2 linked regions of the Daphnia pulex genome follow. The protein of the gene in region 1 purifies or fractionates together with the protein of each later gene. This does not show direct contact. Links are inferred from orthologs where the notes say so. Each region holds a gene or a part of one and is shown on either strand. Other genes may lie near its edges.

Region 1 (4,330 bases):
ATGGACTGAAAATCACAAAATTGCCAGATGGGGCCAAAAGTTTCACCAGTTCCTTGGCGATGGTGGTCGGTCGACGACAGACAATTACCATCCCGTCGAGTGACCCGAATTCCAATGGTGGCGCAGCATCTTCGTCTAATTTTATCATTTTGGCCGGCACCTCGTCTCCATCCGCATTCTCTTCTTTCGCAAGCGTTTCTTTCAGTTTGTAGAGACTGCAGTTCTTCAGGGGCTTCAACTGCTCCGGAGTAAAGTTCATCGCTTGGATCACTCGCCTATTTACAACATAGTTGATTACTCGGCTGAAATATTTAGAAAATTCAAAAAGATTTGCAGTTTACTTTTGCGGTGTTCCTTTTAGGAACAGGTTCCAGACAGTGCCGTGCCCTTGAATTCTATCCAGAATAGCAGCTGTGACTAATCCTTGACACCCTCCATCAAAAACACCAAACTTGCCGTTGCTCTTGATGTTGGCTAAGGACATAATCATCGCAAGGGTGTCGGGACGTAAATTCCTAAAAATTATTAAATAAAATTATTATCCAATTCTTCACTGGAAAGGAAAGGCTTACAATATTTGCATGGGGTCTTGGGAATGGAAGTGTTTAGCCAAGTGTCTGATATTGGGTTTCAGAATGTCAACCCATTCAGAATATTTTTCCTCTTTTTTGTTTAGATACTTTTCCTGTGAGAATTCAGTCTTGATTTGGAAAGTTTTGCTGTTTTCAACTAGTTGTGTGACTATTTCACTTCCAGTCAACCCTTGACCTCTTAATTCTTCAATATCTTCTTTCTTCAGTTGTTGAGATGTGCCATCATCCCAAATTTCTTTATTGTTCTCTCCAGAGTTGAGGTCTTTCATTTTATCTTTCATCTCCACAACCTCATCTGATGGTTCAAGTGTAAACACACTGTTTTTGCCATCTTTTTCACGTACAAGCTTGAAAGTCCCATGAGGTTTTCCCACCACAGATGAGATATCGACTTTATCTCTCCCAATCTTAACAGTCCTTTATCGAGAAAAATATTGTTCATTAGGTTAAGCTTGTTACAAATGTAATTTAAAGGTGACGTACCATTTTTTGCCCTGTTTCTTTGGCAGCTGGTGTAGACTCACTTGGCTTTTTCTTTGAACTATAACAAATTCATCATTTTGGACTAATTCCATTATTCAAAAGTTCAGCAACGTTTTCAGATGTAAAGACAGTTGACAGTTTCGTCACAATACCACTCAATGAGAACAGAAGTCAACTATTGATTGAACAGAGATGTTGAGGTAGTGAACACGGTTTAGATGTAGCTTTTTATCAGATTTTAATCAAACTCGAAAGAAAACGACTAAATCAGTAGTTACAAAACGCATGTGCGATCGGCGCCATGTGATTTTTTTATTTTATTTGGAATGAGCAGACGACACATTTTTGACATCACAGCGGTGTCAATTGTATTTTTGAATCAAAAATACAATTTTTTAATTAAAAGTTTTCAAACATAATAAAGCGAAAATCAATTAAAAGTGAATAAAATATTCGTTTCATTTTCAGCTATGTATGTGTTATTAGAAACTTTCCTGAAAAATAAATAGTTCGACGTTGCCTTCAAATGTCAACTGTGTCAAAATAGACAGAAAATATTGAACCTGTTTGTTTTCTCAAATGTCACAATCTCATTTTGTCTCTTAGATTATTACTAAGCTCTTCAGTAATGCATGTTCTCTTTTGGGTGTCCATCAAATCAATTTGAAAGCATTTCAAACAATTATCAATGCTCCAATTATAGATCTTCAGTAAATCTGACATTCTTTGCAATCAGTCATTATGGCTGTTAGTTGGGATAAATTGAGTTCCATGGTAGACTCTGTTAATACTCGGTCTCCTAATGCTTTGGAGCAGCTATTGGAAGAAGTCAATTTTCAAAGGAGAAAGGAACGGAGAAAATATGTTAGAGAAGGTAAATGCATATATTTATTTTCCGTTGAAAAATTTAAAAGTTAAAACTAATTTTCTATTATTTAGACTCAGACTTTGTGCTCCTTCATGGAACACCATACTGGACTGATTTGTTTGTTCGGCACTTCCTGTTTGAATCAGATCAAAGTATTGATGCTGATGATCTCTTATTCTTTGTAAGAAAAAAGCTAATCAAAGGATCAACACGATTTCTAATGAAATTTGAGGTCAGATCACTTATTAATTCCACATTTAAAGTAATCATCTGTTTAATAAAGTGTTCATCAATTTTAGACTGAAGTTGAAGTTTTCCGTCGCGATAGTAAAAAGCTACCCATTGGAGATCCCGACGTGGCGTGGGAGGAGACTTTATATTTGAACTTGATCATTCATCAATTTGATTACATGTTAACCTTGGCAGTTTGCACAAGAACAAGCCCTAAAGATCTTCAGGTTTTGAAGCGTCATTGTCAAGTATGACCCAGATAATTTGCATTTAATAAAAATGTATGATAACACTATTGATTATTTTTCACAGAGGGTGTATGCCTCACCTAGTCGTAGAAGAATGGACGTTAAAGGTGATTTAGAAGAAATTACATATCCCAACATTTGTTTTATGGTGGACAATTTTGACGAGGTACTTTTTAAGGTGCAACAAAGTTCATTCAGTTTATTAATCCACTTTAAATTAAGGTTTATGAAGATATGCTCGTAAGAGATGGCGAGATGGTTTGCGTCGAACTTGTTGCCACCAACAGACGTGGAGTCCCTCAGGGAGTCCTTTTCTTGGGCTCTATTCGTTACGAAGCCTTAAAGAAAGTCTATGATTCTAGAGTGAGTAAAAATTTAGTTTTAATTTTGCGGTATACTATTTTATTTACAAAAATTTTTCTGTTGAAATTAAAGGCTAGTTTAGGTACAAGAGTCGCCCAAAAGTTTTCGATGGGTTTATGGAATGGAGCAAGTACACATCGCATGGAGTTTGTTCGCATGAAAGGTCCCCAAGGAAAAGGCCACTCAGAAATGGCCGTAACAAAGCCTAAAAGTTTGTTTCAGATGATCACACAGCATATTATTTTTATATCTTATTAATCTCTTGCTGGTTCGCAGGTTCTGGGTTAGACACCCCATGCTCAGAACCAGGCTTTAGCGCCACAGAGCTTTGGGACGCGGAGTGGGATTCTGAGCCGGAAGACTTGTGCTCCAACACCCGACAGGTTGATAGAAACCTTTTCTATAGCCATCGATCAAAATCTCAATAATTGCTTGTTTCTTTAGAGACGTTTGAGCGAGCCAAGTGGAGGTATGCCAATCAGCAACCGTTGTCAACGACCCAACACTAGTCATCAAATGAACGGGACTACTAACATGTCCCGCTCAGAGAATGAAGGTCTTGATAAGTGCAACAATACTTGGAATGAGATCGAGGCCGGTGATGTTCGAGACGGTAAGTGCATCTACACTTGAATCACGATTCTACACTTAAATCACTGTTCAGTTTTCTTTTTACTCGGTATACTTTGATGTTGTTTTTTTTTTTAACCCTGCGTATGTATTAACTAAATTTAACAAACATTTCTGTTAGGTTGTATTTTTGCTCGTTAAATATTTTATGTCGCATGCCAGTCGCTTTCTTTTTTGTGTTGATTGTTATTGGCATCGTTTTTGGCTGTATTATATCTACTAGGCATGCTGGCTGAGGAGCCGGAGTCAACGGACGTGCCCGGCCGCAAGACGGGTGCGACGTTCAAGCAGCTGGTGGACGGAAACCGAGTTCACTTTCGTGACGGTCAGTCGGCTCGGTCCAGTGAACCTGCTGGCCCTCGCACCGGTGTGCCATTATTATTTTTCATAAGCTTATTTTGTCTTGCTTTCCCTTTGATGGTTTCATATACTATTACTGTTTCAGCGTTTTTGTGAAGAGAGTTCTTGTGTTTAATTTTTCTTTTATTCCAATGATTTCTTTTTAGAATTGGACGATGGAGTGTGTAATCCACTTTGGACTATGAAAGGATTCACCCAAACCTTCCATTACTTGAAAGAGTCACGACGTGCTCAGTCGGTGCCTCTTAACGCGCTTCTTACTTACGTCACTGTCCCTTGGTATTCGATTATTGCCGGTAAGGGAGTAATTAATTAATAATGTCTTCAAATAGAATTATTTTTCTATCATTTATACTCATTTTGTTTCAATAGATATTTTGGACCATCACGACGCGCCTACCCTTACTTTCTAGCATACTCAACCACTTTCTTTCGGCATTTTTGCTATTGTCAAGGATCTCTTCTATTTTCTAGTTATTTCTAAGTCATTACTGTTTGTTTGTTTTGATATCAACAAAGGAAAGGGCCCGTCTTCGGTCGAAGATGCGGCCCGA
Region 2 (4,361 bases), on another chromosome or scaffold:
GTACCGTTTCTCCCACCAGCTACAATGTTATTGAAGATGACACTGGAATCGCCCCTGATATTCACCAGCGACTGGCTTATGCTCTTACCCATCTTTACTACAATTGGCCTGTAAGTTTTTTTATTTTTATTGTCTATTTTATTCAGAATTGAATTTAACCAATTTGTTCATTTAAGGGTACCCTGCGTATTCCAGCGCCCATCCAGTATGCGCACAAGTTGGCGTACCTTGTTGGTGAATCAATGATGACGCAACCGCATGAAGGACTGAATCGACTTCCTTATTACCTTTGAATTACCTTTCATTTATTTTCTCCCTAAGTTTTGTCATTTTTAACGTATTAATTTGTTCACTCATAAGAAAAAAACTAAAAGACGACGAGACATGCCTCACTCGCACGATTTTCGAATGACGCCAAAAATATTTTTCTTGAGTTTGTTTGCAATGGCGGATATCGACAATGGAAGTGTTTTTCATGCAATTTTTTTTTCTGTTTCACCTTCATGGGCCATGTCAGAAGTGTGATAATGAACGCCCCTTTGTGCCATGTTGTATGTAATCAAGGAATGAGTAATAAACCTTTGTTTTTAAATGAAGTAGATTTATTGACTTTCGTGTGGTGAGTTTTTATATGATGAAATAAACATGAGTTGCAATGGAATTCGCGTTGAGATGGCATTGACGGAAAAGCTCTACGTGTGCAATGCACATAGCACATTAGGTGTTTCGAAAGCACTGAGGAAAACAAAAGAATGTGGCATCGCTGCTTGGCAGGCGTGGTCAAGCTGACAGCTGTATCGAGAAGAATGCAGGCCTGCAAGGCCAACAAGGGTACGTCTGGGCAGGATCGTCTGGGCTTCCTCGATAGTCAACTTTCAGGTCCGCAAAAGCCAAAAGAACTCGCAAGTCATTGAATTGCTAATTGTCCACTAGAGACACCATGCGGCTGTCTCTTTTGTAACCAAGGGATCTCAATCGTCCCACAGCGAACTAAATCGTTTATAAAAATTATTTCAATACTATAAAATGACTTGATTTCATAACTTGAAGCTTTTTAAAAACACGATAAAATAATATTTACGTAACAAAATAGATGGTTGCTAGACATCCAATAATGAATTCACAAAAAGTATGCATAGAATCAAATGATTAGAATGAACATGTCATTACTCGGATAATAGAAAATTTGAATAAAAGTTTTATTTCATAAGAATTAATTAAATACCTAAAAGATTAGACAGCCCCCAAAGGTGTTTGGCCTTGTATAGATGTCAGCACTGTACGCTGCTAGATGCATAGGTAATAAGAAACGAGATCTGGCAATCTGGCCTCTTCCCATCCCATCGACTCTCGCTGGCATTTTCCGCTTTAGCTACAGGGCAAAGCATTCTAGCAAGCGTACGGTGGAGTCTCAGTTGCTAGCTACACTCTTTGGTCTTAGTCGAGACAATTCGAGGCAGGTTCCGATTCCAACGGTCTCGCTTTTGTTTCTTTATCCAGTGACATCTGCTTATAGTTTATTCCAGCAGCCATGGCAGACAGAGAGGATAACGTTTACAAGGCAAAACTCGCCGAACAAGCCGAAAGATACGATGGTACGTAAATGTCATTTAAATGTAAAATCGAAAAAAAGAATGAAGTTTCATTTCCTCTGTGTCTCTATGACTGTGCATCTCTGTGGGTAAAACCGAACGAGACGGTAGGCGGCTTTGAAAAAAGGCTTGGGCGTTTGACAGACTTATGACGTTTTGACTTTTTGTCTTTTTTCTTGTACATTCGGTTGTGTAATGGGGAAATTCAGCGGCGTCCCCCCTCTTAGTGTTGGCTTGAATACTTTCGATCAATATGACACTCGTACTTGAGGTTCATTTTTCCTGACAATTCCATTTTATCAAGTATAGTATAATCTCAGCCATGTTTTCTAGAATCTCTTTTGAGGGTTTTTGTCGCAGTACGAAATAAAAAAAAAGTAATTCTGGGTGTGTGTCCGGTGTGTGTGTGTATCTCTGGGTGGTTTTCCTCGAAACCTACCGCTACGTAACGAGATGACTTGGATCAATGAGTCATGAGAGAGAGAGAGAGAGAGCAGAGACTTTGGACTGTCTCTTTGTATACTTGCTTTCCAATAACTTTTTTATTCTCTTTTTCGTGAAAAATACGTAGTCGTTTCTATTCAACTTGGGCCTCTCACCATTGCGCATCACCAAGGCGACGGATCTCTTCAAAACGACGCTCGGTAGAGTACCCCACCCTTATGTGCGTGATGCGTTGGGGGTCCTGGCTACGTTGATGAAAACGTGCCGTCTAAAAAAGCTTCTCTCTCTCTCTCTCTCTCGAGGACATCAAAAAGGAAACCGTTCACACAACAATGGCCGCCTGTGATGGTTAATTTTCTCTTCTATATTTTTCTCTCGACTCTTCTGTCTGCGGCTTACAAAAACCAAGAATCGGTCAAGCTCTGACAGTGGGCGGAGAAACCCGATGGAAAATTAGCCACCATTTTTATTTTTCGTCTTTTTCCTTTAGGAAAATATTCCAACTGGTATGAATGGGGCGTTTTTCTATTTCCACATATTTTCGAAAAAATAGTTGTCGCACGTGACGCGTCTCGTGCCTTTTGTCGTTGTAGAAAAAAAAAATTAGTTTTTATATTTTTAACTTTATTCCCCCCCCCCCCCTTCACGTTTCAATGATGGAGGGAAGTTGGAAAGAAGAGAAAATGCGGTGTGGGTGTGTCGCCCTAGAACCTGTCATTACGCCACTGCGATGTGAATCCAAGTGGAGAGCCTGTCCGTGCATACAACTCGATCGTCTGGTTATTATTATTTCCCTGAATTCAAACATGTACGCCCAGCTGGAGAAACTTTTATTTTTCAATTCCTCCCTTAGAAAAAAAGAGGACACACATAGTTTTGTGTGTGTGTGCGTAACGTCAACTCGGTTTGCCCCTGTACTTTTCCTTCCTTCCGCCGTGGGGATGCTGATGTTGGGGGTTATATGACGACTGCGACGTGCTGGATGTGTGGAGAGCGGGCGGAACTAGGCGGTAGCGTGTTTCCTCCCGTGGCCGTTATTGATCCGCTACTTGAAAAGTCGCTCGAGTGTGGGGGGTGGGGTAGACAGGGAGATGGGGGGGAAAGAAGGCAAAGCCTTTATGTCTGAAAGTGTATCTATCTTTTTCTGTCCAAAAGAGAAAGGGATCCTCTGACAAGTTTCTTTGGCTAAGACTATATGATAATCTGTTTGTTGATGCAGAAATGGTCGAGTCCATGAAAAAGGTGGCGTCGATGGACGTCGAGTTGACTGTCGAGGAGCGGAATCTGCTGAGCGTGGCTTACAAAAATGTGATCGGCGCTCGTCGTGCATCTTGGCGCATCATCTCGTCCATTGAACAGAAAGAGGAGAACAAGGGAGCCGAAGATAAACTTGAACTCATCCGCAATTACCGCAATCAGGTATGGATAATGTATTCAAATTTTATTCATTGATTTGTGCCTTTATCTGTTTTGTCTATAGGTCGAGAAAGAGCTGAAGGACATTTGCTCTGATATTTTGAGCGTCCTCGAGAAGCATCTCATCCCATCAGCCACCACTGGAGAATCTAAAGTCTTTTACTACAAAATGTAAATCGATTTTTGCTTGGCCTTTTTTTTTTCAATCTTGCGAGTAGTAGTTGGACATTCCTATTAAATGCACCGGTGGATTTCTCTCAAAGTCCTTGAGACTCGAGCGTCTGTGATTTCGAATTCTACTCGTGTTTCGCTTTGAGAGAAAAGAAAAAGTGTCGTTACTATCTCTACCAAACGTGTACACAATTTTATCGTACGTAAACGTTGCGCCAAGCGCAACTTTGTGTGCGCGCAGACATGTTGTGGATGGATGGCCTGGTATTGATTATTGACGATTTTACACAACTCCCTTCCTCTGCTTTTGTCGTTGTGTTATACAGGAAGGGTGATTACCATCGGTATTTGGCCGAATTTGCGACAGGAAATGACCGAAAGGAAGCTGCAGAGAACTCGTTGATGGCTTACAAAGCCGCCTCCGACATTGCCATGACGGAATTACCCCCCACCCATCCCATCAGGTAACTTAACTAACAATTTGTTGCCGATCCTCAACTTAACTTTATCATTTGTAGATTGGGATTGGCCTTGAACTTTTCCGTCTTTTATTACGAAATCCTCAACTCTCCGGACCGAGCGTGCCGGTTAGCCAAGGCAGCTTTCGATGACGCCATCGCTGAGCTCGACACCCTTTCGGAGGAGTCGTACAAGGACTCGACGCTCATCATGCAGCTCTTGAGGGACAACTTGACCCTCTGGACTTCCGACATGCAGGGCGATGGAGAAGCTGGTTAG

What was found.
Region 2: the proteins of uncharacterized protein KIAA0930-like (region 1) and 14-3-3 protein epsilon purify together in Homo sapiens (affinity purification with mass spectrometry; 4 studies listed by BioGRID and IntAct, counting the BioPlex papers as one, with this or other methods). This does not show direct contact. The link is inferred for Daphnia pulex from reciprocal best matches to the Homo sapiens genes KIAA0930 and YWHAE.

What each region holds. Positions count from the first base shown.
Region 1 is NC_060026.1:1,163,484-1,167,813, reverse strand, and holds the start of uncharacterized protein KIAA0930-like, read left to right. Parts: upstream 1-1,412; 5' UTR 1,413-1,817; coding exon 1,818-1,950; intron 1,951-2,015; coding exon 2,016-2,176; intron 2,177-2,243; coding exon 2,244-2,423; intron 2,424-2,487; coding exon 2,488-2,589; intron 2,590-2,645; coding exon 2,646-2,786; intron 2,787-2,858; coding exon 2,859-2,997; intron 2,998-3,062; coding exon 3,063-3,169; intron 3,170-3,230; coding exon 3,231-3,399; intron 3,400-3,639; coding exon 3,640-3,783; intron 3,784-3,922; coding exon 3,923-4,072; intron 4,073-4,148; coding exon 4,149-4,189; 3' UTR 4,190-4,330. Other genes in the region: tRNA (adenine(58)-N(1))-methyltransferase non-catalytic subunit TRM6-like, read right to left, coding at 1-275, 342-515, 573-1,010, 1,077-1,168.
Region 2 is NC_060024.1:10,588,649-10,593,009, forward strand, and holds the start of 14-3-3 protein epsilon, read left to right. Parts: upstream 1-1,364; 5' UTR 1,365-1,531; coding exon 1,532-1,595; intron 1,596-3,255; coding exon 3,256-3,455; intron 3,456-3,516; coding exon 3,517-3,623; intron 3,624-3,949; coding exon 3,950-4,087; intron 4,088-4,141; coding exon 4,142-4,356; intron 4,357-4,361. Other genes in the region: piwi-like protein Siwi, read left to right, coding at 1-110, 177-293. UniProt on the Homo sapiens protein: Adapter protein implicated in the regulation of a large spectrum of both general and specialized signaling pathways. Binds to a large number of partners, usually by recognition of a phosphoserine or phosphothreonine motif.